Linked DNA regions of Macaca mulatta. The protein of the gene in region 2 interacts with the protein of the main gene of each other region in a pairwise test. Links are inferred from orthologs where the notes say so. Each region holds a gene or a part of one and is shown on either strand. Other genes may lie near its edges.

Evidence for each region.
Region 1: the proteins of UBE2K (region 2) and RNF125 interact in a two-hybrid assay, tested with the Homo sapiens proteins (2 studies listed by BioGRID and IntAct). The link is inferred for Macaca mulatta from reciprocal best matches to the Homo sapiens genes UBE2K and RNF125.
Region 3: the proteins of UBE2K (region 2) and TRIM2 interact in binary tests that used the Homo sapiens proteins (3 or more experiments, as listed by UniProt). The link is inferred for Macaca mulatta from reciprocal best matches to the Homo sapiens genes UBE2K and TRIM2.
Region 4: the proteins of UBE2K (region 2) and RNF111 interact in binary tests that used the Homo sapiens proteins (3 or more experiments, as listed by UniProt). The link is inferred for Macaca mulatta from reciprocal best matches to the Homo sapiens genes UBE2K and RNF111.
Region 5: the proteins of UBE2K (region 2) and DTX3L interact in binary tests that used the Homo sapiens proteins (3 or more experiments, as listed by UniProt). The link is inferred for Macaca mulatta from reciprocal best matches to the Homo sapiens genes UBE2K and DTX3L.
Region 6: the proteins of UBE2K (region 2) and RNF167 interact in binary tests that used the Homo sapiens proteins (3 or more experiments, as listed by UniProt). The link is inferred for Macaca mulatta from reciprocal best matches to the Homo sapiens genes UBE2K and RNF167.
Region 7: the proteins of UBE2K (region 2) and RNF138 interact in binary tests that used the Homo sapiens proteins (3 or more experiments, as listed by UniProt). The link is inferred for Macaca mulatta from reciprocal best matches to the Homo sapiens genes UBE2K and RNF138.

Annotation. Positions count from the first base shown.
Region 1 is NC_133423.1:60,484,171-60,488,281, forward strand, and holds the start of RNF125 (E3 ubiquitin-protein ligase RNF125), read right to left. Parts: upstream 2,801-4,111; 5' UTR 2,762-2,800; coding exon 2,598-2,761; intron 1-2,597. UniProt on the Homo sapiens protein: E3 ubiquitin-protein ligase that mediates ubiquitination and subsequent proteasomal degradation of target proteins, such as RIGI, MAVS/IPS1, IFIH1/MDA5, JAK1 and p53/TP53.
Region 2 is NC_133410.1:38,909,936-38,914,134, reverse strand, and holds the start of UBE2K (ubiquitin-conjugating enzyme E2 K), read right to left. Parts: upstream 2,801-4,199; 5' UTR 2,752-2,800; coding exon 2,689-2,751; intron 1-2,688. UniProt on the Homo sapiens protein: Accepts ubiquitin from the E1 complex and catalyzes its covalent attachment to other proteins. In vitro, in the presence or in the absence of BRCA1-BARD1 E3 ubiquitin-protein ligase complex, catalyzes the synthesis of 'Lys-48'-linked polyubiquitin chains.
Region 3 is NC_133410.1:161,858,927-161,862,426, reverse strand, and holds part of TRIM2 (tripartite motif-containing protein 2), read right to left. Parts: intron 2,752-3,500; coding exon 2,567-2,751; intron 1-2,566. UniProt on the Homo sapiens protein: UBE2D1-dependent E3 ubiquitin-protein ligase that mediates the ubiquitination of NEFL and of phosphorylated BCL2L11. Plays a neuroprotective function. May play a role in neuronal rapid ischemic tolerance.
Region 4 is NC_133412.1:36,301,860-36,305,967, forward strand, and holds the start of RNF111 (E3 ubiquitin-protein ligase Arkadia), read left to right. Parts: upstream 1-1,308; 5' UTR 1,309-1,697; intron 1,698-1,734; exon of another isoform or gene 1,735-2,033; intron 2,034-4,108. UniProt on the Homo sapiens protein: E3 ubiquitin-protein ligase. Required for mesoderm patterning during embryonic development. Acts as an enhancer of the transcriptional responses of the SMAD2/SMAD3 effectors, which are activated downstream of BMP.
Region 5 is NC_133407.1:161,203,460-161,207,682, forward strand, and holds the start of DTX3L (E3 ubiquitin-protein ligase DTX3L), read right to left. Parts: upstream 2,801-4,223; 5' UTR 2,632-2,800; coding exon 2,445-2,631; exon of another isoform or gene 2,222-2,444; intron 1,190-2,221; coding exon 978-1,189; intron 1-977.
Region 6 is NC_133421.1:6,490,643-6,494,765, reverse strand, and holds the start of RNF167 (E3 ubiquitin-protein ligase RNF167), read right to left. Parts: upstream 2,801-4,123; 5' UTR 2,608-2,800; coding exon of another isoform or gene 2,577-2,607; intron 2,492-2,576; exon of another isoform or gene 2,317-2,491; 5' UTR 2,077-2,316; intron 2,030-2,076; exon of another isoform or gene 1,931-2,029; 5' UTR 1,894-1,930; coding exon 1,810-1,893; intron 1,727-1,809; coding exon 1,646-1,726; intron 511-1,645; coding exon 385-510; intron 276-384; coding exon 188-275; intron 2-187; coding exon 1-1. Other genes in the region: SLC25A11 (mitochondrial 2-oxoglutarate/malate carrier protein), read left to right, coding at 2,898-2,992, 3,597-3,749, 3,834-4,040.
Region 7 is NC_133423.1:60,411,823-60,415,901, forward strand, and holds the start of RNF138 (E3 ubiquitin-protein ligase RNF138), read right to left. Parts: upstream 2,801-4,079; 5' UTR 2,712-2,800; coding exon 2,602-2,711; intron 2,061-2,601; exon of another isoform or gene 1,955-2,060; intron 1,171-1,954; exon of another isoform or gene 1,068-1,170; intron 1-1,067. UniProt on the Homo sapiens protein: E3 ubiquitin-protein ligase involved in DNA damage response by promoting DNA resection and homologous recombination.

The DNA.
Region 1 (4,111 bases), on a different chromosome or scaffold from region 2:
CTGAAACTGTAGCTTCAATATGGGATAATAAAATACAGAAGGTTCATTTGCATTTATTCATTTTCCAACTTAATTTCAATGGAAAAGAGTAATTCATTTAGAATGTACAAATGGCATTAACAACGCTCATAATCTCTACAGCAGAAAAGACTCTGGTTAACATTTATAAAGTGGAAGGGGCCCAAGTAAGTTTGCCAAAAGGAGGAATATGGAAATTCTGCCCACAGCTAGAACAATGGACATAGATTTGTCAAAACAAAGAACAGTAAAGAGAGGAAAGGCAATTTGTTCAGCCCTTGTAATGCTATTTTATGGTTATTTTTCCAGTTGCTAGTTTCCTATTCACTTTAACAAAGAAAAAGATTAAACAAAAAATTTAACATTTTGCAAACTTACATTATCCTTTAGTAGAAGGAAAAATATTGTAAATGGTAAGTTATACTATTCAAAGTCCAAAACAGGAAAACAATCTCCAGTCAGATAATTGAATTAGCAGCAAAGCGGTCTATTCCAAAAAGAATCTTCAAAATGCCCACTGTTTATGTTTTGCACAACTTCAAAGTTTTAATGCTAATAATGATTCAATTTAAATGGAGGTATCTTTAGGCTGTTATTGCCCTAAAATAATCAATATATTTTATGACTCACACAGCCCATCTTGGCTTCCAGATTGGCCTGTGGATATTACGTTAATGAGCTACATCTGGACAGCTGAGCAACAATATTAGTAATCAGAAAGGAGGGTAAATTTAAGCCTCGAGTTTTAAGAACAAAGCTGAAACAACAGGCCTCGAAAATACAGCTACGAAATAATGCCCAAAGCACTCTTTATTTATACATTGTGCAGGCTGCACACTTTTTTCCCTGGCTCACAGGTGGGCAGTGGTGAAAACTGCTTTTCAGATACAAGGCTATAGGTATTAAGTATCACCTAAGGATTCCAGGTGTGAGCCACCATGCCCGGCCTCAAAACTTCTGAATGCAAGTGCACAACATGTTTTTAAGGACTACCTAAATCCTTTCAAAAGTGATCCTCAGAAGCAATAATGCTATTTCTTTCTTCCTGCTAAGCCAAATGCATTTCTTTCTTCCTGCTAAGCCAAATACAAGTACATGCCACTGTGGTATCACACAGGGCTTCATCATACTATAGTCACCCTTCAAAGGACATTAAGTAGGCTTCCGCTTCTGATCCGTGCAGACACACACACACACACACATCCACGAACAAAATTCAAACCAAAGAGAGAAGGCTGGGTGCAGTGTCTCACACCTTTAATCCCAACACTTTGGAAGGCCGAGGTGGGTGGATCAATTGAGGTCAGGAGTTCAAGACCAGCCTGGCCAACATGGTGAAACCCCATCTCTACTCAAAATTCAAAAACTAGTAGGGTGTGGTCGTGGGCGCCTGTAATCCCAGCAACTCGGGAGGCTGAGGCAGGAGGATCACTTGAGGCGGGGAGACAGAGGTTGCAGTGGGTGGAGGTTGCAGTAAGCCGAGATCCTGCCACCGCCACCGCACTCCAGCCTGGGCGACAGAGTCAGACTATCTCTCTATCTCTCTCTCTCATACACACACACACACACACACACACACACACACACACACACACACACACAAAGTAAACAGAGAGCACGAATTCACAGATCCAACTCCACCAGTTACTCAAGCACACATTAAGCATGTGCCAATTTTATATAGGAACTTTGTTTTTAAACTCTTCTTAGAAACGACCACGGCTTTGCACCAACTGTGAGTTTTAGCTAAGTACTATGCCGTTTTGAGAAAGTTATTTTACTCTGTAATTTCTGCCGGTTTGGAGAGACGGCGTGTAAAGCAGGTAGTCTGCCACCTCCTGTCACGTTGTGGCTGGGTTTTGGAGGAGTACATTCAGGGGCTTGCGGCTAACGTCCAAGCCCCACCCTAGCAGGTTGTTAAACTCTAACGACTTGTGGAAAGTCACTCGGAAGCTCCAGTTTGACTTGCTCTTTGAGGGGATGGGTGTCTGTGTTGGGAAAGGGTAGCAGGGGTGGGGGTGGAAAAACACTTTGCACAGACCCTTGTTTGCTTAAGACGAGCCTCTGTGGGCATTCTGGGAACACGTGCACAGCTCCAGCAAAACAAAACGGACCCGGGTTTCTGGGGCAGAGGGAAGCGCAGCCTGTTCCACCGTGTTCAGCGGGGTACCTGCGCTTTGAGGGAGCCCCTGCCTTGCAGTTGGAGCTCGTTTCTTTTTCGTGCCCGGGCGAGCGCTCGTTCTCCAGCCAAGAGCACCCTCCCCTGTTGGCGAGCCCTGGCTCTGGGCGGGACCCGTGCCTGGATCCCCTTCTCTGGAGCTCCGCACCTGGACTTCGGGAGGAGGCAGCGCAAGGGGGCTGCAGGGCCCGATTGTTTCTTTTTTCTCCTCCCGAAATCCTGTGTCACCTTCCGACCGGCGTTTTCCCCGTGGCCCCGCACCCGACGGGTCCAGGTTTCTCTCTGCAGCAGTTTCCTAAGGCGCTGTCTTCCGTCCCCCTCCTTCCCCACACCATGCCCTCAGCTTCCCGACATCGCCCTCCTTAGGGGTGGGCCCAAACCGAGCTCCCCTGGCACTTACACGTGGCCACAGCGGGTCCGGACAGGCTGGTGTAACACCTCAAGGCACACGGCGCAATCGAAGGACGTGACGGGCAACTGCGGGTCCCCCCTGCGCTCCAGGGCCCGCGGGGTGGCAGAGGGGGGAGCCGATTTGCCGCTGTCGCTGCTCAGCACGGAGCCCATCGCTGTGCCTCTCGCCCAGACAGCTGCCAAGCACTCAGTGCCTGCTGCAGGGTTGTTTTGTTGTCGTGCGGTGGAGGAAGGAAGTCCCGGCCCAGCTGCGATCGCCGCCTCCCAGCGCGCGCAGCTCGCGCAGCCAAGAAGCAACCTCCGCCGATGCGCCCAACCCTGGTCTAGGGCAGGGCGAGTGCGCGGCCGCGGGGCTGAAATCTTCGGCAAACCGCCTAGGTTAAGGCGCGGAGGCGGAGGCGGCAGCCGCCAGGTGCTTTGTCTTGTGGTATTGGGAGGATTGAAACCTGAAACCTCAACTGCAGAGAAGAGGACTTGAGGCAGTAGTAAACCTTCCAAGCTGTCACACACAGCCTCTTTCCCCACTGTCAGAAGTTAAGTGCGGGCGTGGCCATGCTTAATGGTAATCAGAGAACAGCCGCTTGTAAGGACCATCCTCCACTGTTGTAATCACAATAAGCTGCAAAGATTGAACTATGACCTATGATTGGACGTCTCCTAAGACGGTGCTATCATTACTCTGTCGTCCAATCAATAGTCCATTAATGGAGAGAGAGCCTGGGTAGTGGAAAGAGTTCTGGAGATTCAGATTCCGATCCTACCTCTCTTACAGATATTCTAGTGCTAAACCCTGCCGTCTCCAGTTTCCTCTGCGGCTCAGGATTTCCTCTGTTGTTTGTACTCTCCCCATCCCGCCCTTTAAATGTGATCAGCCGGGCGCGGTGGCTCACGCCTGTAATTCCAACACTTTGGGTAGGCCGAGGCAGGTGGATCGCTTGAGGTCAGGAGTTCGAGACCAGCCTGGCCAACATGATGAAACCCCGTCTCTGCTAACAATGCAAAAATTAGCCGGGCATTAATTCACACTTTTTTCGAAGACTTATTTCGTGCCCACTGCACGCCAGACTCAGTTCTGGTGATGGAGACACAACTGTCAACAAGCAAACAAAATCCCAGTTCTCACAGAACTTACTTTAAAAAACAAAAACAAAACTTTACTTTGAGGTAATTATAGATTTGCATACAGTTGTAAGAATAGTACATAGTATATAATACACATATACAATAATATATAATGTAACACATGGGATATAATAACGCATATAATACATGTATGTATTTAACAGGCCGTAAACTTCATCCAGTTTACCCCAGGCTTTACTTTTAATTAGGAGATATAGGCCGGGTACCGTGGCTCACGCCTGTAATTTCAGCACTTTGGGAGGCTGAGGTGGGAGGATCACTTGAGCACAGGAGCCAAGATCGCGCTACTGCACTCCATCCTGTGCGACGGAGCGAGACCCTGTCTCAAAAAACAAACCAAGCCGGGGCAGTGGCTCACGC
Region 2 (4,199 bases):
AAATCACATTCGTATGACACAAAATTAAAAAAATATCTATACCCCATGCCCCAGAGACCCAATTTTTCTACACAGAAAGCAATCAATTTTACCAATTTCTTGTGAAACCTTTTGCCTATAAAGACAAATACACATATTCCCCTCTTTTTAACACAAATGGTGGCTTCTTCCACACTATTCTGCATCTTGCTTTTCACATTTATCTTGTTGGCTGTATTTTAATTAACACACTCTAAGAATGGTCACTTATAATCTCTCATAACCAGAATCCAGTAAGCGTCAGCTATCTTTACAAAGGCACTTACAAGGCCACCCCAAAAAGTCCTTAAATCAACCAGTGTTCTTAGTAAACGCAAGCATACAAGCACATGAAATAAATTTTGGTAAAGTGCAGATTTACCAAAAAAGTGACATGATGAAATATTTATTTGATCAGCCATTCAAAAGACTGGATTTACACCCTTAAAAAGGAAACACACGGACTATACTACAAGTCTTCAATGAGTTGAAAATAATCCACTTATAGAACTGGGGCTACTAAAATATCAAAAAATACTGGCGAAAATAAGCTATTTATTGGTTATATTTATTGCAAGATTAAATGATGTGACTCTTTCCTAAATGTTCTTTGCAACTGATTTTCCCAAAAGAAGTTTCCTTCCATATTTATACAGGTACTGTTCTAAACAACACAAAACAAACAAAAAACCTGTCTGCATTTCCTGTTTTCTTCTTCTGAAACACTTTTGATGCTTATCTGAAGTAAGGCTTCCTCATCCCTTATGTATAAAGAGCAGTGTTTTTTTGTTTGTTTGTTTGTTTGTTTTAACAATATGCATTACTAGAGAGCAATACAAGTATTTCTGGTAATCTTCAACTTAAGTACTACGAATCTCACAGTGAAAAGTGAGCTCATAAAAAGCAAAGAGACCATATTAATTACCAAAGCAGTAACTTACCACTTGTAACAGAAAATAAAGCACTAAAAGTCTATTAAGTTTCAGGCTTGTACAACCTTATTAAACAAGAAATGTTTTAGGTTGTTGGCAACAATATTAGCTGCTATCTTTCATTAGGAGTATGTATGTCAGCTAACCTGGAATACATTTTCATATTAAATAAGTTAAAATTGCTGTTTCACTGTATCAGTACAGACACTTATTGACTCTATTTCTGCGCTGTACCACAAAATACAAAGTCATCCTTCCATTCAGAGTTTTGGCATATGAACACAGAGGTCAGAGTTCATACACATGCTCTGTAAAACCGATCATGACTTACATACTACTACTTTCAATAAGTCTGTTGTCATTTTTGAATTTTAAATAATTTTTCTCCATGTATACTCATCACATATTTAGAATGCTGAATTTCACAAATCATTATTGACACTATCAAAGTACTAACCGTAAAAGAAAAACAAAAATAGCAATGATATATTCAATAATGGTATGTGAATCTTGAAAATAATCATTTTCTGTATTACTTTTTGTTTAATTCATGTGGGGAAGACAATCTGGCATTCTTGTTCATCTTGGTACGACACACTGTACTAATACTTGCATAATTTTGAGTCAAATTACTAGAGCATTGTGAATATCTTACATAAACGTAGTACTAATGTATATAAATTCTGCAGAACTTAAGAGCAATGGCAGGCAATTTTTTTGAAAATCTGTTAAGTCGTGATAAATCTACTCAATAAGGAGATGAAATAATGTATTAATCTGGTGAAATCTCACATTTTTAATAGGTCTACTTTTCAAAAGTAAGAATCAAGTTACCTATGAGGGACATCATAATGAAGTTTCGTGGCACAACACGAGTCACAGAGGCACTGTCTTAGGACAGTCTGATCGGTAACTTGTAAACAATATTTTGAAATAAACTACTCATACAACCCATTATTTTTTTCCTAACTAAAAATATTTACATGTCTTTAATACACCAAACACCTCGCCTTTGCCCACTCAAAAAAGATTGTGATGTCAATAAAAATGAGGCCTACGAATTTGGGGGTTAAGTGGAAGACATAATTATCTCGTTTGGAATAACTTGCTAACTCAGGTGAAAATTCCCTTACCCCCGCCACCAAATAAGACAGTATTCTATTATGTCTCCCTTTGACTCCTAACACCCAACTAAGAAGGACTAACTCTGAATGTCCTTCCTTTCTAATCAATACCTTTGGACTCACCGCTCCTCCCCTACGAAAAGAACAGTGAAGGCCTGACAAGCAATAACCCCAAATACCCTCAAAAGTGTGGGCCTTTGAGCAGCACTGCTCTTCGTATCCAGTTACCACCTTTCCCCTTCCCCCAACCCACTTCCCGGGTTTTCTCAGGCTCGGCCTGCTCCCTCCCCACCCCACAGCCACATTTCCAGCTGTGGCCACCGCCTCGGGTTCTCTCGTGAGCTTCCATCCCTCCGAGGAGCTCCCCCCTGTCCATCAGCTCCCCAAACCGTGTTCCACCCCAGACCACCCGCCCGCGAGACCGTTCATCCTAGCGCTCTGGGAGGGGAGGGGAAGGCGGCGGAAGGAGGAGGGGAACACTGCTGCTTCCTCACAGGCAGAAGGGCGGCCGCAAGGAGGGCCACCCAGGGACTACCGAGGATATCGGGGTCGCAGCTGGGAGGACCCTCCCGCTCCAGGCAGAGATGGGGGATATCCGGGAGTTCATTTCTGACCTCCTCGCTCTTCAGCACCTCCTTGAACTCCCGCTTGATTCGCTGCACCGCGATGTTGGCCATGTCTCCGCCCGCAGCTGATTCGTACCCGCCTCCTCCGCCACCGCTACGACCACCGCCACCGCCGCCACCTCTTCCTCCACCGCCTCCTCCCCCGGCGATTCAGACCCGAGCACACGAACACTGCCACTACCACCCCGGCCGCCGCGCTCGCCTCAGTGTGGAATCACCTCCGCGCCCGGCCACCAAAATGGCGCCGGGTCGGCGCATGCGCACGACGCTGACCCGGCCGGGCGGCGCAGCCGCTCCCGTTGTAGCCCCCATACGCCCGAGCCACGAGCTCGCGTCTCGGCTGGGGCTGCGGCCGCGTGGCTCCGCCCTGCCGGCGTCTGGGGCCGCTAGGGCGCGGCTTCCAAGGTGGCCGGCCGTAGCCTGCCCGCCCGGTCCTACCCGGCGCCTCCGCTCCTGTTTAAACCCAGGTGCTGTGGTCGGGGCTTCCAGCGCTGGCCTCTGACCGAAGGTTCGCGCGCAGCCGAACGGGTTCCCGAAGCCGCACTCGGCTGGAACGCCGCCCTGACTCAGCTAGACCCGGAACCCGGAGGCTGAACGCCGTGTCTAGCGCAGGAAAACGCTCTCGCGGATCTCGGTCCGGCCCATTTTCAGTTGGTGTAGCCCCAGAAAATCCACTGCAGTCGTTTTTGTTCTGCAACATTTATAGTACCACGATTATTCCCATCATCTCAGGTAGCACAGATTATCGAATTAAGGCTGGTTATTGTTGGATCAGATTGGGTTTGAGACAGGTACTCGGTGGAGAGGCCTGAGGGTGGGTTTACAAGTCAGATGTTGATCTTTGACCTATTTAATACCGAGCTTGACACACACACACTCTCTGTCACACACACACACCACACACACACACACTCCTGTGCCCATCCCTAGAGTGTGGAGCGGGCCTAAGACTGCGTTTCTAACAAGTCTCCCAGTTGCTGCTGCTGTTGGTGCTGGTTCGGGGACCACACTATGAGAACCACTGAACTGAAGCGTGTGAAAATTCATATATATTAAATTGAAAACTGGAGAAATAGAAATTATAGTGCCCTTCAGGGGACTGGGATGGGGGAGGGGGAGCCTTATTTCTGTAAACCTAGGCCTACAAAGGTGCTTGGTGATAGTAGGCACTCTATAAATATTGAATGTGTAAATGAGTACAGATAAGAGTAAAACGCTTTTGCTGGCGCGGCGGATCACTTGCAGTCAGGAGTCCGAGACCAGCCTGGCCAACATAGTGAAACCCCGTCTCTACTAAAAATACAAAAATCAGACAGGTGTGGTGGCAGGCGCCTGTAATCCCGGCTATTCTGGAGGCTGAGGCAGGAAAATCGCTTGAACCTGGGGGGCGCAGGTTGCAGTGAGCGAGATCGCGCTACTGCACTACATACAGCCTGGGCCACAGAGCAAGTTTATGTCTCAAACAATACAAAACAAAAAGTATAAAATATTTTAAGTAG
Region 3 (3,500 bases), about 120 Mb from region 2:
TTCTCATGTATAGCAACTGTCACTGGTTTAATTTCACATTAGTCTGAGCAATTAGGATGTTAATGACTGGCTCCTCCACTAGGCTGTGAGTTCCAAGGGGCCAGCAGCTGTGTCTGGCTTTGCTCTCCTTCAAGCCCGTTGATGCTGTTTTGGAAGATGTGGGATAAGAGAGTGGCTGTAAGTTGCTCACTGAGTAGCCAGTGTGAATGTCCAGCAGAGGCTGAACATGGGGGTCCTAGAGCTCACTCTCCCAACAGTGAGACAAGCTGTAAAGTTTTGTCTCAGCATAAACAAAAATTTCCTCACCAGGCGCAGTGGCTTATGCCTGTAATCCTTGTACTTTGGGAGGCTGATGTGGGCAGATCACGAGGTCAAGAGATCGAGACCGTCCTGGCCAACATAGTGAAACCCCGTATCTACTAAAAATACAAAAATTAGCTGGGCATGGTTGCGTATGCCTGTAGTCCCAGCTACTCGGAAGGCTGAGGCAAGAGAATCACTTGAACCCAGGAGGCGGAAGTTGCAGTGAGCTGAGATCATGCCACTGCACTCTGGCCTGGTGACAGAGCAAGACTCTGTCTCAAAAATTTTAAGGAAAGTTGCCAGCACCTTCAACACCTTCAAACAGAAATCTTCTCAGCTGGACGCAGTGGCTCACACCTGTAAGCCCAACACTTTGGGAGGCCGAGGCAGTTGGATTGCTTGAGCTCAGGAGTTTGAGACCAGCCTAGGCAACATGGAGAAGCCCTGTCTCTATAGTCAGGCATGGTGGTGTGCACCTGTGGTCCCAACTACTCAAGAAGGTGAGGTGGGAAGATCTCTGGAGCCTGGGAAATTGAGGCTGCAGTGAACTGTGATTGTGCCACTGCACTCTAGACTGAGTGACAGAGTGAGATCGTGTCTCAAAATAAGTAAATAAATAATAAATAAATAAAATAAAATATAAAAGAAGAGGAAATCATCTCAACATGCATGAGGCTGGAACAATTTTAACACAGAGCATTCTGTAAGGACTTGCTGTAGCAGGATCTCGCAAATCTCCACCACTAGCTATTGGATGGGGAGTGGGAGTAGGTTGGGCTAGACCCCTGAAGAAGATAGCAGGGGCAGACCTAGGGCAGCCAGAGTGTTGCTTCTCACCTGTCAGGGTGAGGGAGTAGGACCCAAACAATACATAGGCTGGACACTGAATCCTGGGATATGGGGCAATTCTGCCAAGCTCAGACTGAGTGGCTCTGAACGCACTTCTATGGAGAGTGTCTGCCAAGCTATGCTGACTGCTGCACGTCAGGAAACCATCTTATCATGTGTGCCCAGGGACATATGAACGATTAGCTGGTATTCATGTTTTAGGTGTACCTATTAAGGGGATGGAGGAATCACACTCTAATTATTTTTGGAATATGAATTACCAAGCACTTAAGCCAAAGTATAAAATGAATAAAATAAAAAGTGCTCTATATACCACCACTAAAACAAACTAAAACCCATATATGCAAGCACACGCACACACACAAAACCCCACACAACCCCAAACAAACAAAAAGCCACAACTACTAGTAACAAATCTACCTTCTCCTTCCATCCATCACCACCATGAAGGATATGGTTATTCTTTTGCAATTGAACCTTGCAGAGTAAATCAACTCTAACAATGGTCAGTCAGATAATAAAGACATGTTAAATCAGATATTTGGGTAATCAGCATAGATTTGAAGCCATTTGAAATACCGATTTCCAGTTCTATCATAGGAAGTAAAGCATTTTCAGTATGTATATTAAATAATGATAAAAATGTATTTAACAAAATGCTATAAAACATAATTACCATATTTATTTTTAAGAAAGATATATAACTTCACTAGGGAAATACTTATAAGTAAGATAAACTAATTACTAACAAACTTATACTTACATAGTAAGTTAAATAATGGAGTAAAAGTATATTTTGATAACTGATTAACGCCCCTCTCCAAAAGCAAATACTCTATCAAGAAGATAAATAAGGAAGTCTGTTTTCACATATAACAAATTACATAGTCAGGTAATTTATTTAATATATATATATATTTTTCTTTATCTAAAACATCATAGCATTCAAATGTGACATTAATATGTGTCTGAAGAATCTTTGGAAAAGAAGCTATACCCTTTGAAGTAACCACTCATATATGCAGATGTTTTACCTGATTTGTTATATGGGAGGAAACGATAGATTTTTTTAATTGACTCTCAAAGACCCTCTGTAGGGATCTGCTGTGGACAAAAACTGTTTCACAAAGAACAAAGGGAAGTTTTAAAAGATTTTTCAACTTAACATTCTTATTTAATGCTCCATCTCTTGTGTAAATGAATCAGTAGTTACTAGATTGCTTTCTCCTGCTTATAATGGTTTGAAATAAAGTAAATTATTTGCAACTCATGATTCCGTTTTTCAATGTCTGGCAAAGGCACAAGAGATTAGTTTTCTCTCAAAGGTAACTGTAGATTCTGGGAAAGAATCTTGCAGTAGGTTGTAGGAGGTCAGCCTGTGAAACTCCCTTCTCCAAGCACAAAGGAGGCTTACCTCTCGCAGAAAGTGTGCAGACAGGGGAGAACCTTGGGATTCTTGTACCGTTCCAGGCATATACTGCAAATCAGAAACTGCTTGTCAATCTGGCGCACCACAGGACTTGGGATGTTGGTGCCTTCACTGGCCATCCTAGACCACTGACATGGGGGGCCGGCTGTCTTTGACCCTGCACGCTGCTGCTGTCAGACAGAAAATCAAAACAGAAAAATATATAATGATCTGTATGAACAAGTCAATTACTGGCTCTTTCACCGTAAGCATTGTGTTATAAATTAAGGTAGAAGTCAACGTTAGTGACCTCAAAATGACCAATAAGCCAACCTTTATTGCTACAGGAGTACAGTGAGCTCCCTGTTGTTTGTTTTGTAAATCAATAAAATCCTCACATGTTCGCCACGCAAACAAAACAAAAGATGGCGTGTTGTACAAAGAGGTATGTTTGCTAGGTTTCAAAGCAGTGGTGACTTAGGGGATAAATACTTTATATAGCTATGTCTGCTTATGCCTTTAGCCATGACCATATTTAAACATATATTTACCTTTTGTATTCTTATTAAAATTGAATATGTTTTTCCAACTATTGTAGTTGAAGAGGTTGGACTGTGTCACACCAAAATATGTCACTTTGATATAAGGATTATTTTGAGCTGAAAGCTATATAGAAAGAACAGACAGAAGAGGACCTCTCTGCCCTTCCCCATCTGCCTAAAAGCGGGGCATAAATTTCTCTTTTGTAAAGGAAATGTCCATTTGTAAAGGTGCCTCTCTCTCCGGAGCCAGGAAGAGAAGTCTCTTAAACACTGAAGACTGCATGGAGATGATCTTGCAAAATGATCTTACTAAACAAACCTTATCTACCATACATTCCAAAAATTACTGCCCCAGGAGTCCAAACCCCTCTTTCTTTTGTCTAGGCAGTTCTCCACAA
Region 4 (4,108 bases), on a different chromosome or scaffold from region 2:
GGGGTTACACCCGCCACGACGCCCGGCTAATTTTTTTGTATTTTTAGTAGAGACGGGGTTTCACCGTGTTAGCCAGGATGGTCTCGATCTCCTGACCTCATGATCCGCCCACCTTGGCCTCCCAAAGTGCTGGGATTACAGGCGTAAGCCACCGCGCCAGGCCTTTTTTTTTTTTTTTCTTGGAGACGGAGTCTCCCTCTGTCACCCGGGCTGGAGTGCAAGGCTTGAGCGTGGCTCACTGCAACCTCCACCATCCTGGATCAAGCGATTCTCCTGCCTCAGCCTCCCGAGTAGCTGGGATTACAGGTGTGCGCCACCACACCGGGCTAATTTTTGTATTTTTAGCGGAGAAGGAGTTTCACCATGTTGGCCAGGCTGGTCTTGAACTCCTGACCTCAGGTAATCCACCCGCCTCGGCCTTCCAAAGTGCTGGGATTACAGGCATGAGCCACCGCGCCTGGCCAAAATCATTTGTTTGCTGAACGATGTGAAGAATATGAGTGAACAAAAAAAGTACTGAAAAAGATGAGTTGATGGCAAAGGGAGGGAATTAATGTTTAGTGCACACTTAAGTGGCGAGTAATGTTCAGAGCATTATATAAACTGTCTCATTTAATCTAACAAGAACCTTTTGAGGTCAATACGTTTTCCCAATTTATAGAGGAGGAAACTAAGATTTATAAGGATCTCATGAATCAGAGAACTCTTAAGTGGCATCACTGGACTTTCGAAAGGAAGTCTGCCTGATGGACTCTAAGGCTCATCCTCTGTCTATCCTCCTAATGCATATAATGACGCATTTGTTATCTACTGACTTTTATAAAATAAACAAGGAGGCTTATGCGATTGTACAGCCCGAGTTCGCAGGAGGTATCTGTTACCACTTTTGATCTGATTCCGGAAGCATTAACAGTGAGGTGCCCTGATCTTTATGTAATTAGCGCATATGATATGGGTATCATTTGTTGTGAAAGACACTAACTCATGATGTTTCTGTTTACGTGTATCTGTAAATATAGTAATTTCTGTAGTTGGTTAATTTTTAGTTACGAAAAAATGAACCAAGATGTAGTCAAGATTTGGCTTAAATGTTGAACGCATAATTACCAAAGAAAATTAAATAATGAGCTTTGTGACACCTTTCAGTTTCGCCAACAGACTGATAAAACCAGTACAAAGGGGGAGGGTCGGGACCGAGGGGGCGGGACGGTGAGAAACGGGAATCGAGCAAGCGCAGAAACAAACAGATGTTAATGGAGGCGTGAAGGCTACTGCGCTCTCACTTTCCGAACTGTCGTAAAGGCCCCTAGTGTCGTGCTCTCCTCGGTAGGGGAGGAATTGGTTAGGCGGCGGCGGCGGCGGTAGGGGAGCAGCGGCAGTGGCGGCGACGGCGAGGAGGTGTTCGGTCTGCGCAGCGTAGAAACGCCCGCAGCTTCAGAGAAGGAGTTCTTGTGGGACCAAATTAGGCATTCTGAACCCACGCCGGCTTAGCTGGGCCGAGTCCAGGCGCTGCCGCACGTACAGTTTTGGTGGCGGTGACAGACACTGCTCTTGACTCTAGGGGCCTGTTAGGCCGACGTCTGAGGCGCAGATCGCTGGCTCTCGACGCATTACTCTTTACGCCTTACATTTCTGTCTTCCTTCCTGGGTCAGTGATTCCCGGACCCTGGAAGAGAAGAGGGTGGCTAATGATTAAGGTGAGGGGAACAGGGGGGAGGGGATCCATTGGAGGCCGCGCGTGCGCGCAACGGGGGAGGGGCCGGCCTGGAGGGGAGAAAGAGGAAGGGCTGCGGCCGCGGAAGGCTGGGGTCGGCGACCGGCCGGTTATCTCTGGCTCAGTGGTGATTTAGGGTCTGGGTCTCCGCAGACGATTTGTGTTTGGGCAAGGCTTTCGTCTACCGACACACCCACAGCCTACATTGAGGAAGTGTGGGTGAGGGGATTTCTCTCCCTCTTCCGACTCTCCCTAGAGTCTCAGGATGGGGGCTGAGGACCGAGGCGTAGGAGTGCGATTTGACAATGGAGTGATGAAGGTAACCCGGACCCGGGGAGTTGGGGGGCGCTAAGTCAGCCCTGACGGCTAGGGAGCCGCCTGCTGCTGCTGTGATCAAGGAAACGTAGTCCGCGGAACAGCTGAAATACAGACGCGTCTGATTTTGTATGGAGTTGTCTTGTTGGTCATTTAAAAAGAAGCTGAATGTTTTTACTATTGTCCTTAGATAATTTATCAGAGACAGTGTCAGTGCTGTAGTGGGAATATCTGTTCAGTGCAGCAGAAATAGATTTGTCACAACAGTTCTTAAATAGGTTATAGTAGATGTTTACAGAGGGTATTTCTCAACCCAAGTGTAAGTTTTGATTATTCAAAAAATACCAGGAAGTATAGGGTATTGATTTAATTTGTTCATGTGTATAGTGTGGGGTGACTCCATTGTATTGTTGTAAGCTTTCCTGTTTTTTGATTTATGTGCGGCATTAATTTAGAATTCTCTTGAATGGTAAGATGCCAACTGACATAGACTACGTTTTGTAGGAGTTCCTGTAGCTTTTGAACCTGACAATCTAAACTTTATTTCATTTGGTATTTTATTTATAATTTTCTTGTTTTAGAGGCCTCTTCAACTAAAAAGAACAAACTGGGAAAAGATAAGCTAAGGTTCCATTTCCTTTCTCATTTTTGTTTTTTTTTGTGTGTGTGTGTGTGATGCTTGTAAATGCTTGAATGTGATTTTGAGATTACCATACACAAGTTCTGTAACACTGGACTTAGCTTTATTACAGTAAAGATACACCTTTTGATCGTTTGTTACTGTATGTATTTTTGTAAAAATCTTCATGTCAATATAAGCCACATTGTTTCACCCTAGTCTGGTTATGTTTGTGAGGTAAAACAGATGGATAAGAAGGAGGTCCTTTTACTTTTAAAATAATTTTATGTTGATTTTTTTTTAAAGCCTTGATATTTATCTTATTTTGGACACTTTCTTGCCATTTAACCTTGGACAAATGACTATCATCTCTCTCCTGCTCATTTGTTTGTGACCAAAGATTCACAATAGTATTCTAAGAATTGATGAGGGTGTTTGTAAATTGGTCTAAATAATATTATAGGAAAAAGTAGGAAGAGTGAGTCTCCCCTTGTTTATCACGAGTGCTATATCATGTGCAGATCCTTCTGTCACTTTTTAACTTTGTTTGGTGTCTGTTGGCCACATGTTTGCTAGTTATTTCACCTGACATAGAATTGGTTTTTAAAGAAAGATATAAACAAAGTGACTCCATTTTGGTGAAAAATGCATTACAAAAGAGGTTACACCTTAACGAATTTCACTGTGGTACTCCGTTTCTACAGATTATTGAGAGAGAGCTATTCTGATGTTTAAGAGAACAGCACCTTGCTTGTATAAAGCTAAGGTATAGTCATTTAGCAGATACTCCTAGTTATTTTACTTTAAAATAAAAAATATAAAAGAAACTAATTGAATCAAACCGTTTAGATTTTTAGATGCTTTTGTTGTTGTTGTTGTTATAGTTTAAAGAGGGGTTTCTGTATTATGCTTTTCTTGAGGCATACTTATGTGCCCTTCTTTTGCCTTTTTCTCCCCTTTTGGGCTAAGACTTCAGTAGGAAATAAAAGAGACTATCTGAAAAATGATAGAAGTTAAAATATGTTATAACCTGACATTAACATTCTATGGGTAACATTATCTTATGAAATAATATAGGACTAGAGACAGAAGATCTCGATTTTAGATCTATCTTTGCTTGCTATACATTAGATCCCCGAGTTTATTGTTAACCCTCCTTGGGCTTCAGGTCTCTCTGTTTAAGTGAGAATTGTAGAATAGATAACTGGTTTTCTCTAGGTCCCAAATCTAACGGTTTGTATATCTAGTTAGGTTTTTGGTATTCGTTGTTTTATTCGTCGTAATCAAATCCCCGGAAAGAAATGCTGTACAGAAAGCATCAATTTCCTCATGAAATGTGTGTGTGTAAAACCTATGATGAAACTGAGGGCCAGGTGTGGTGGCTGACCCCTGTAATCCCAGCATTTTGGGAGGCCAAGGCGAGTGGATCACTTGAGGTCAGGAGTTCGAGACCACACTGG
Region 5 (4,223 bases), on a different chromosome or scaffold from region 2:
TAGGACATTTTCCCCCCAGAAATCCACTTGGCTAGAGATGTCATCTCACTTGAGGTTTTTCCAGACATCCTATTTTAAATGGTGGTTCTGTCATTGTCTGTCACGTATTCTTCTTATTCTTCTTTCTAGCAGGTATGACTGGCAGACATTTTATTATATATCTATTTGTTTATTAATATTGTCTGTTTCTCTCACTAGAAGGTGCCATCCCCAGAAGCAGAGTCTGCCATGTTCCTGGCTGCCTCCCCAGCTCCTATAACAGTGCCTGGAACACATTAAGCAGTGGATATCTATTGTTGAATGAATCTTGTCATCATTCAAGTTGCAGGCCAAACGTCACCTCCTCAGTCAAGTTGTCTCTGATTTCTGGTTAGAAGTAGCACCAGGCTAGGCGCAGTAATTCATGACTGTAATCCCAGCACTTTGGGAGGCCAAGGCGGGCAGATCGCTTGAGCCCAGAAGTTTGAGAACAGCCTGGGCAACATAGTGAGACTCCGTTTCTACCAAAAAAAAAAAAAAAATTGGCTGGGTGTAGTGGCACCTGTAGTCCTAGCTACTCAGGAGGCTGAGGTGAGAGGATCGCTCGAGCCCAGGAGGTCAACGCTGCAGTGAGCCATGATTATGCCACTGTACTCCAGCCTAGGTGATAAAGTGAGACTCTGTCTTGTTGGGGGAAAAAAGAAGTAACACCACCCCCATCTTCCCTTTGCTCGCCCTAGCCCTGTTTCTCTCCAAATAAATAAAATGGTTCTAATTATTTCACTTGCCTACTGTCTTTCTGTGCATGCCCTGGGCCCCAATATGAGCCGCCTGAGAGCAGGGACCTTGTCTGTTGTGTTCGTCTCTGTGTCCAGTGCCTAAAACAGTGCCTGGCTCCCATGTATGTGCCCAGCACATGGGTGTTGGATCAATAATACATGAGGCTGGTGACTGGAGAGGAGGCGCAGGTACAGCCAGCTCCTTCTTTCAATACTCACCTTTTCGAGACAGGAATCCACAGCATTAGGAATATGTCCTTCATGTTGATGCGTATCACTAGACGGTGTTTCTGCTTGTGACTGTGTCAGTGAAGAAATTTGAGGTCTCATGTTCTTCTTTATTGAATTTTCAGTGGGTACCAGGAAAATGGGCACAGGTTCGTTGTCAACAAGCATTTGGTGTTCTCCTTTTTTCAACACTCTCTCCTTAGCTTCAGCGGAAACATTAAACACACACATATACATACATAAAAATGGGAGAGATTTCAAGTAATCCTGTCATTCCTGTGTCTGTACCCTGCCCCAGCACCTCCCAGTAAGGCTGCTCACTGCACCCCGGAATGGTGGGTTGGCGATGGAGGAAATTGGGGAGCTATTAAGAGTTCTGAAGTGTGCAGATTAAGTTTTACTATAGAAGTGAAAGCTTAACGACAATGGAACATTGTCCACTCATTAAACGTCATGTTTCTGAAACTGTCTCCAGTCTCCCCTTTCTTCCTTCCTTCTTTATTTCCCTCCCTCCCTTTTTGTTTTTTTGTTTTGTTTTGTTTTTTGAGACGGAGTCTCACTCTGTCACCCAGGCTGGAGTGCAATGGTGCGACCTCGTCTCACTGCAACTCTCTGCCTCCCGAGTTCAAGCGATTCTCCTGCCTCAGCCTCCGGAGTAGCTTGGATTACAGGTGCACACCACCACACTCAGGTAATTTTTGTATTCTTAGTAGAGACGGAATTTCGCCATGTTGGCCAGGCTGGTCTTGAACTCCTGGCCTCAAGTGATCCACCAACCTCGGCCTCCAAAGTGCTAGGATTATAGGCGTGAGCCACCGCACCCATCCTGGTCTCCCATTTCAATACTCATTATACAGGTAAGTTACAGCAGCAAGTATCAAAAGTGCAGACTCCGAATTGTGTAAATACACGTGTGTTTGCTGGCATTCGTAAAAAAGGGCAGGAAGAAAATACACCAAATGGACACATTGTTTATCTCCAGGTTGTTTTCTTTTTTACTCTTTTCTCTTATTTCTATAGTGAGCATATATCACTTTTGTAATCCTCAAAAATACAAAATGGAACATCCTTTTGTTAATGGATGGAACAATGGAACCATTATTTAAAACATAAAAGTGGAATCCCTGAATGACAAGGACGGCAGCTGACAGGCATCTGGAGGATGGAAGATGACAGCTGAGAAATTAAGTTAGAATGAGGATATGGAAAACATCCACACTAAGGCGGGGTTAGCCGGATCCGCACCGGGCACATGTGAGGCCCTGTCCTCCACCGAGTGTTCCCTGTCTCAGTGAGTCTCTTGGCAGCAGGGCCCCGTCCCTGTCCGCCACCGCACAGTGGCATACTTTCTTCCGCCCTCTCCCCTAGGTCAGCTGGAACTGGCTCCGCCTGGAAACCCGGGAGTCGGGACCCCAGAGACGGCTTTCGGCTTTCGCAGCCCGACCGCCCGAAGCTCACCTGCCCTTTCACTGAACTCCACCCGGAAGGTGCCCGGGGCTTCGTGTTCCTGGGGCCTGACCGTGCACTCTCCGCCGCCCGAGGACTTAGAGCTCTGGAAGTAGCTCTCCAGCTTCCGTTGTACCCGGAGGCCGGACCCGGACACCCGCACGAGGAGCGGGGACGGCGGGCGCAGGTCGGAGGCCATGGCTCTGCGCGTCGGGAGGGCGCGGGGGCTCCGGGACGCCGCTGGGCCGGGACTGGGATAAAGGCGCGGCCCGCCCCGCCGACTAGGCGCAAAGTTTCAGTTTCGCTTCCCCGGAGGTCCCTCCCTGTTCCCAGCAGAGCTGCTTCCCCCTCTTCCCTGTGCTGTCTGCACCGAGGCGAGTGGTCTGCCGGGTGGGTAGGTCCGGTGCCCCTGGGCCCTCGGGGTCCCCTTTCCTGCAGGCTCGGGGTACGGGGGGGCGGAGAGTGGGGGCGGGCGCGGACCGGGATCCCAGGGCCAGGCCTCCCTTATGAGTAGACTATGCAAAGAAAGTAAGTTTCTCCTGTGTTTCTTATTCTTTGTAACTCTTACTGCTGTTATCACTATTATTTGATGCTAAAAAGTAATTCACATCTGAATCCATGTTAAACTTACCCATTTTTGAAAATTTGAATGTGTTCATCTGGTAATTGTGACCTGTTACCCCTTCCCTCCCTCCGACTCTACCCTTTAGACAGGCTCCTGGGGGCTTTTCTCCTCCATTGCTTGATTTAACCAACAGCACTGAATTGTTTCTTGCTGCCCAAAGAGCAGAGCAAGGCCCTGATGTCAAGGGCTGGTGAGGGGAGGCGGACCTGTGAACCAGGGAGCAAAACTTCTTCAAGGCCTCCAAGGAGAAGTTTCAAGCAGCATCTTAATAAACTGAGTGTGGCGACGAGATGGGGAGGACAGGGTTGGGGGGAAAAGCACCTAAGGCTTAGGGACCACTATGGTCTGAAGCACAGAGTGGGCCTGGGGCCTGGGAGGAGAGGAGATGGGTGAGGGGATGAGGGAGGGAGGGCCTACCTAGATGGGCACTGTCCAACAGAGATACAATGTGAGCCAGTATGTTCATTCTAAAATTTTTGCAGCCATATTTTTTAAAGGATAAAGAAACGGATGAAATTAATTGTAATGATGTTATTTAACTTGACATATCCAAAACTTAATCATTTCAGCACATAATGAGCTTTTTACATTCTTTTTATCATACTGCATCTTTGCAACCCAGTGTTTTTCTTACACTTACATCACATCTCGATTCAGACTGGCCACATGTAGCCTCAGTAGCTACGTGAGGCTGATAGTCCACCCTGGACAGCACATATTTAGATGGTGAAAAGCTTTGAAGAGCAGTGAAGATGACTTGAAGGGTTGTAAGCAGGGAAAGCAAGAAAATGACTTGCCAGATATGCATTTTAGAAATATGGTGCTGACAATGGTGTGGAAGACACATTTACAAGCAGGGATGACTGGCGGCAGAGAGGACAGAGATAAGGTTTTTGCACATGGCTGGTAAGACTGGAAATGGGTCAGTCTTCACTGTGAGCAATTTGGCAGTACTGTCAGAATTACAACAGCATATGCTTTTTGATTCTGGAGTTCCATTTCTAGGGATTTGTCCCATTGATATATTAGCCCCTGTGTGAAGTGACCTGTGTACAAAGATGTTCTTTACAGCCTTGTTTACAATGGCAAAAGATAGGTAACTCTTTAATGTCCATAAATAGGGGGACCAGCAGTTTAATAATAATAATATATCTATACAATGGAAT
Region 6 (4,123 bases), on a different chromosome or scaffold from region 2:
TCTGCAGGGATCAAGGTGTTACTCTGGGGACTCACAACCTTCTACTCAAATCCTTTGGGAACCCTGGCATCTGGCACTTTCGCCCCAACCCACCTAAAGGATTGGCTTCTTTTCCTGAAGCCTTCAGCCTTCCCACCATCTCTGGGTCCTACTGAAAGCCCAGCTGTATAGATTCCTCCAGCCTTACCACTGTTCCACACCATGTTCAGAAGTTCATTGGAATTCACATTGTGTACTACAGCGGCACCATATCCAGCCTTCTGGGCATTTAGGACCTAGGAAGACAAGGCAGAGGACAAGGAGCCATCATAGGCCTGACTTGTCTTCATTCCTGGTGCCTTTTTTTACCCTCAGCTGCCCAGCTCCCACTCCACATTCAGCAACCTTGAGGTCAAAGTTGCAGTCGAATCTTCGAAGCAGCGCAATAAAGACTGACCCATTGACCGGGGCTGGGGGTGGTGGGGCAATGGGGCTGCAGGCATTGTCTGGGTGAGCCTCCACAAGGAACCCCTGAAGGATGGAAGCAAACAACAGTGAGATTTCTCCTCCCTAGGTTTCACTCCTACAAGGGCCACCAAACACACCAGCCCACATGCTGCACATCCTCTATCCTCACTTCCTTCTCCTTCCTGGGGTCTGAGCATCGCAACCTCACAACTTTCTCTTAGCCTCTTGAAAAGGTAATGACATAAAACATCCCTTCACCAAACTCTCCCATCATCCCTCTCGCTGTCCCAGATGGGCTAATCTGTACCCTAAACCGCAAGCTAATGCAATTACTTTGCCTTCTAATGTTCTGACTCTCAAGTTCTGTTTCACAGTTTCCTCTCCAATACTTACACAGAACACACTCCCTTCCCTTCAATTTTCTTTTTCTTTTTTTGAGATGGAGTCTCGTTCTGCCACCCAGGCTGGAGTGCAGTGGTGCGATCTCGACTCACTGCAACCTCCACCTCCCGGGTTCAGGTGATTCTCCTCCCTCAGTCTCCCAAGTAGTTGGGACTACAGTCATGCACCATCATGCACAGCTAATGTTTGTAATTTTAGTAGAGATAGGGTTTCACTATGTTAGCCAGGCTGGTCTTGAACTGGGATTACAGATGTGAGTCACCGCGCCCGGCCTCTTCAATTTTCTAATTACCCATCTCACAAACAACTCCACTGCTACTACGGCCCAACTGAGTTCTTGCTATGTGGCAGTCTTTGGGATGAAGTACTACAAAAATTGCGTATCTAATTTAATCTTCACAATAACCCTAGGAAAACTTAAAATATCCCATTTTACAGTAAAACAAACTAAGGCTCAAAGAGAAATTAACTTGCCCAAGGTCATACAAGCAACAGCTTCTGAGACCCTCTTGATAAGGACCGTTGATCCTACCTTCCGTCTCTGTCCACTTTCAGTCTCCCTGATAACCTCGGAGTTCCAGGGGTGGACACTTTGTCTTCTCCCTCTGGATTCTGGATTCTACACTATACGTGCTCAGTTCCTAACTTGATTTTCCTACCTCCAGTTTCACCCAGGACAAACCTCCCCAACCCCAGCCCAGGATGGAAGATCTTGCTAAATATTAAAAAAAGAAAAAAGACAGAAAAGGAAGGAAAGGGGGGGAAGGAGAGGAAGAAAGAAAAGAAAGAAAATCACCTGGAGTCCCTCTTGGCTCAAGGTAGCCCCAAACAGAGCTGGGAGGTCTGCAAAGTCCATGCTGGCATTGTGGTCCGAGGTCTGCGGACAAAAAAGGCAATGTTCCCCTTCAGCCTGCAACCCTTCCCTTCAGCGCCCTTGCCTCCTCCGTCCCTCGGACTCACCGCTCGAATGAGCCCCCGGATGGGGGCCGCTCCCCACAGCACAGCGGCCACAACCACAGGAAGCGGGAAGGCTGCAGGGTGCATGGCAGCGGGAGGAAAGAGGCTGAGGAGGCCGCTCGTCCTGGTAGCAAGGAGCAGAAGCGGAGTTCTGCGCCCTCCCTGCCCCTCCTTTAGGATCCCAGGGGTCCAACCACCCCCAGGTCCCACTTCCCAGCTACATGGAGGCGCCGGGGAAGGAACCCCGACTCAAAGAATGAGATATCCAACCCGTTTAGTGGAGCTGGGTGAGAGGCACTAAATGTATCCTTTTCTGGTACGGGGATAAAACCGGGAAAGGGGACGGAGCCTAACACAGGTGACAGAAAAACTTCGGGAAGGGTGGCGGAGCTCAAGGAGGTGGGACTTCCTGCCAGGTGGGCCGTGTTCCCAGCCTCTGGAAAAGGGCTTCCGGTAGAGAAAGTCAGGCCGCTTTCAGCATTTGATGCTTGAGATGAAGAACTTTCGGTCCTAAAAGGCCAGTTAAAGAAAGGTCAGCGATGGAGGGAGTGCCTGTGGAGATGGAAGGAGCACTGGTGGCCCAGAAGACGACCTAATAAAGGTGCCCGGAAACCTGGAGCCACCTAGTTTACAAACCTCTCCTCCCGCTGGCCGCCGCCACCGCTCCTTCAAATCTCGCGAGAGTGCTCCCCACCTCCCCCGTCCCCTCGCTGCTGAACGCTTGGTGTGTCTATCGCGAGAGCTCTCCTACTCTGGTGAGCCGTACTCACTCGATCTCGCGAGACCTTGAGACAAACTCATCTCTATTTTCCCGCGATTCCAATTTGGTGAAAACTGCGCCTTTCCTCTGGTTTCCTAAATCAGTTACACCCCTTCTCGCACGCTTCCCTCAAGCTCCTCCTTCAGCTCCGCCTTACTCCCGGCCGCCTTTGCGCTGCGCGCCTGCGCCCGCGCTGGCTTCCAGCGGGTGCCGGACCTGAGAGCCGGAGGGGCGTGCGCGCGCCCTCGCCCTGTTGCGCGCGCGGTGTCACCTTGGGCGCGAGCGGGGCCGCGCGCGCACGGGACCCGGAGCCGAGGGCCATTGAGTGGCGATGGCGGCGACGGCGAGTGCCGGGGCCGGCGGGATGGACGGGAAGCCCCGTACCTCCCCTAAGTCCATCAAGTTCCTGTTTGGGGGCCTGGCCGGGTAAGCTCAGGCCCCAGGGATGGGAAAAGAGGAGGAAGGGACGGGTGCAAGGAACCGGGCCCGGTTCATCTCTGGGTCTGTTGCAGTGAACTGTGCCGGCACGGGGTCAGCGTGATCTCCAGCGTATTACGAGTTCCCCAATGGGCTGCTAGGGCCCCATGCAAGGCCCCTTCTGGACTGCATGCGGGGTCGTTGCACAATCCCCGCCGGGCCACCTGAGTTTCCCAGCGCATTGCTAAGCTTGGCCGGGCTACAGGGGATTCCAGGCCATTAAATGGCTCCTGGAGGACTACCTGGAGTCCTAAATCTTGGATGCCCCTTCGTCCCCTCCCTGTGTCGGACTGCGTGCAGCCCCAGGTCACTGCTTGACTGTCATGAAGCTGCTTGGAGCACTTGCATTGCATGGCCCCGACTGGACAACTAGACTTTTCAGACCCGTTGCACTCGGTGTACATATAGACTCTTATACACATGCTCACCAGCATCCTGATTCTTGAATCGCATGGCAGGCCCTGACCTTTGTAACCTCTTGCTGCCAGGCTCCAGTGGGCACTGGTAGATCTGGAATAGTGAATCCCTTCACTCCACCTCTATCTTCCCCCAGGATGGGAGCTACAGTTTTTGTCCAGCCCCTGGACCTGGTGAAGAACCGGATGCAGCTGAGTGGGGAAGGGGCCAAGACTCGAGAGTACAAAACCAGCTTCCATGCCCTCACCAGTATCCTGAAGGCAGAAGGCCTGAGGGGCATTTACACCGGGTATTGGGGCCTCAGGATGGAGGGTAGGCTGTGGGTTGGTAGCTCCAGACCTTGGCCTGATATGCTGACCCCTCTGCTCCTCAGGCTGTCGGCTGGCCTGCTGCGCCAGGCCACCTACACCACTACCCGCCTTGGCATCTATACCGTGTTGTTTGAGCGCTTGACTGGGGCTGATGGTACTCCCCCTGGCTTTCTGCTGAAGGCTCTGATTGGCATGACGGCAGGTGCCACTGGTGCCTTTGTGGGAACACCAGCCGAAGTGGCTCTTATCCGCATGACTGCGGATGGCCGGTGAGTTCCAAGTCTGAGCCTCACCCCAGCCCCATTCCCTGGAATCTAGAATGAAAGGACCCCTTTTCTATCCCACATCTAGA
Region 7 (4,079 bases), on a different chromosome or scaffold from region 2:
TGTACTGTCATTGAAATGGCAATTAAAATTTTTCATTTTCTAACTGATCCACAGTAACCCAAAGTCCTTATCATTTCAACTCTCTATTCATGAATCAAAAATTGATTTTGTAGCCAAATATAAATTTCTTTAAAGGCACAGGTCTGTCCTTTGTGAAGAAGGCAGGGTAAATGACATAGATAACTATGTTACTTAAAAAATAGGTCAGGCGCCATGTCTCATGCCTGTAATCCCAGCACTTTGGGAGGCCACGGCAGGAGGCCAAGGCAGAGAATGACTTCAGCCTGGGAGTTCAAGACCTGACTGGGCAACATAGTGAGGCCCTGTCTCTATAAAAAAGAAAACAAAATTAGCCAGGCATGGTGGCATGCTCCTGTAGTCCCAGCAACTTGAGAGGCTGAGGCGGGATGGTTGCTTGAACGGGGGAAGTCAAGGCTGCAATGAAACGTGATCACACCACTGCACTCCACCCTGGACAACAGAGCAAGACCATGTCTCGAAAAAATAATAATTTTTAAAAATTCTCTCCAATTCCCCCACTAAACTCCAACTGATTAAGATCCTGTTCCTCCATTACCACCTCTTCCAAATTAAACTTTTTTCTCCCTCTGCCTATTCTTTAATTCATTGTTCAGGCAGAACTGTCTAAGCATAATGAGTTGATTTGAGAAAGGTCCTGAATTAAATACAATCATCTCCAACATTTTCCACAGTCTTGAGGTCAAACCAAATTATAGTCCTTGATTTAAAATGTCCCACAAGGGAAGTGGACTAGAGCAATCTACACGGAATTTTGGGGAGTGCTAAGAAATTACAATGAGGCCCATGAGGTCAATGACCCAAAGGATAATTAGAATGATTCTATCTAAAAAAAATACCTGCTTTGTATATATACAGTTAGCAGCTATTACAACTTCCTCTCACCTTGCCCTCCTCCCTCCCTTTTATCTACCCACTGCCAACACAGCACTTAAATTTTTTTATATATTGGAAAGGGACCAAGTTATGCTAGATTAAAGGTGAAAGATCTATATTGTGCCCTAGACACCTCCAAACCTTTTTTTTCATGTCAAATGGGTAATGTGTTGACCTTGTAACAAGGTTTGAGGGTGGCACATCTCACACATGCCTGTGAACACTCAATCATCACATTATGAACTACAAAAGGATCCCTCAAAACATTTCTCTAAGAATCTGCATTTGTTGCACAAAATAATAAGATGTCATTCATCTCCCTTAAAGAGCGAAAGCGTAACTGGCATAATCTCTATCATGAAAATCCACACACTCTTGGCTCACACAACCAGCACAAAATAGAAATAAAGTAGACAGTGCAGTTAAGATTGGGGAACAAAATGAGAAGAGTTGGTATCAAGAAAACAACCAGAGTAAGGGCATTTGCAATTAAGACCCAAAAATTCAATCCATCCTTTACAAAATTATAGAGCCTTACCTCAAAAAAAAAAAAAAAAAGTGGAAAGAGAATGAAATACATTTAGAAGGTTAGTCAATTCTTTTCGGTTGTTTGCAAGCACACGTAACTTTCAAGCCTGAGTGTATTTTTTAAAAATAAAGATTTCCAGGCCCCACCTGCCCAAAAATTCTTTTGTAAGTTTGGAATGGAGCCTGGGAATTGGTATGTTTACTTAAAAAGCTCCCGGGGGACTCTGATCATCAGTCAGGTCTGTCAGAAGGGCTATACACCTTTTCAAGAAGGGCGCTTTCCAACCCTTACTCACACCCTAGCCGTCCATAAAATCTTATCAAAGTTCTTGTAAATATGCCTGCCAATCAAACGCACGCGTTATCTCACCCAACCCCTTTGTGCTCTCCCCCACCCTGGGGAGCATTTCACTTTCGGCCCATTCCTCGTAACAGAAGTCTGCCTTTCTCCTCTCCACCCTTGTATTAATCAAGTAATAAGCAGAAAGGTAAAACAAAGGGGAACGCTCACTTCCATGCCCGAAAATCCTGTCGGTTTTCACAGACCAGAGAAGAAAACTCATTCTAGATCCCTCTAACACACAGTGGACTGGAAACGAAACAAAACGCTCTGGAGGGTGTTCTGTGAAGCAGGGTTGAGGGGAAGTTACAGAAGAGCTCTTGGACCGAGGGGACGCACCAAGGTTCTGAAAGAGGAAACTTGAAAGCTGGGCAGGTCGCGGGGCGAGCGGGCCCGCGTGGGCACCGCCGGCCGCTTTTGACACTCGACACCCCAACCTTCACCCGGGTTGCTAAGAAACAAAAAGGCTCCAAGTTCCCTGCAATTCCTCCCGGGCCTGGCGGAGACTACAGGGGCCTCCGGGGCCTGAAGACGCCGCAGGGAACGGCCTGGCCACTGCCCCGGGGGCGCGAAAGCCAGGGAGAGCGGGAGAGCGGGAGCTCGGGCTGAGGGGGCAGGACGCGCAGAGCGGGCCCCGAGGCTAAGGAGGAGGGCGGCCCGGGGCTCTGAGGGGCAGGGAACGGGACCTCGGGGGGCAGCGACGCTCGAGCAGGCCGCGGCGGGCTCGGTTCCCGCCAGGCGGCAGCCGGGGGTCCCGGGCCGGAGGCCGGGCCTAAGCAACAACCCGGCTCCGCGCGGGGGAGGGGGCGTCTACTCACACGTGCTGACAGGCCGCGGTCCGCACGGGCGTTTTGAGCACCTCCTGACAGACGGGGCAGTAGAAATCATCTTCGGTGTAGGACGTGGCCGCGGAGAGGTCCTCGGCCATGGCGGGGGATGGGGAAACAAGGCGATGGCGACAGCGGCAGCGGCCGAGGTGACGGTGGCGGCCCGGGGCCCGACTCCCTACGCGAACCCGGAGGGGGGAGGGGGATCGCGTCAGGATGCGGCGCGCTCCAGGAAGGGGGCGGGGCCCTGGGTAGGGCGGGGCCGAACGCAGAGACGCGACTGCCGCACGCGCCGGGCAAGAGGCGACCCCTCCCACGGCTCCTCCCACAGGGGCTGGATGGGGGCGGTGCTTGGCGGGAGGCTGGGCTTGCAGCGTGCCGTGGGCCCGCCCGGCTCGCCCCCAGGCCGCGGCCTCACGCCCCAGGCCACGCCCTCACCGAGCTCCAGGCGCGGGCTGTCGCTCCGCCCTCAGCCGTCGTCTTCGCCCAAGGTCTTCCTTTTCACCGTTTTCCCGCTCTTCTCCTCACCCCGACCCCGAGCCCCGAGCCCCCAGGTCGTGTCCGCGACTTCCTCCCCGCCTCGCTTCCCGGCACCCCGGCCCCTCCACGCTTCCGCCGGGGGGACCCTCACCTAGGAGCCCCGAAGCGGTGCTGTGGACGGAGCTGCTTTTCCTTCACGTGTTCGTAGAGACGCGGCCCTGCGCTTTCCTCGGGCTTCCTGTCCGGCCGCCACTACCTTCGCAGCCGAGGCCCCGGGGCAAATGGAGGGCGGCCTGCGCTGTGCTTATCGGCCCCAAACGGGGCCGGACCCGAGGCTCATGGTGTAGGGAGATTCGCCCGCCCCCGCCAGCAGCTCTCTCTTGGCATCGCGCTGCCTACAGCCTACTCGGCCGTCACCGAACGCGGGAGCGCCTGGGAGCTGGGACGGGGTGTGAAGCGCGGCCTCTATAGCAACCGGCGCGTGGCACCTTCTGCGGGTTGTGACATAAGCAGCTGGGCGCCCGCGGTGACACCTGCGCCTCCCCGCCCTGCCTCCCTAGGCCCGGGACCCCAGCCACCTCTCCTGTCAAATACATTGGGCTTTTCAGGAAGTTTTCGTCAATGTTCAAGATTTAGTCTTTACTATTTGCCCCACCAGAATGTTTTGATCTTGTCAAGATGTGTTATAAACAAATATTTGTTATAGGATTTTAATCCTTTGGGGACAGGATTAAAGTTTCCTTGAGAGGATGTCCACTTTCTCCTTTAACGGCATGACTGATGCTTAAATACGGTCGCAGATGGAGTCTTCTACCCACACCTTTGGGTTGATTTTTGATTTTTTCTTTTTTTTTTTAGCTTTGAAGAGAAATGCTGTAGAAGCATGGACGTGGATTTTCACCAAGGTTATTCACTAATTTAAGTGTTTTATTTTTATTCTTTTTTTGTTTGTTTTTTTGAGACAGGTACTCACTCTATCTCCCAGGCTG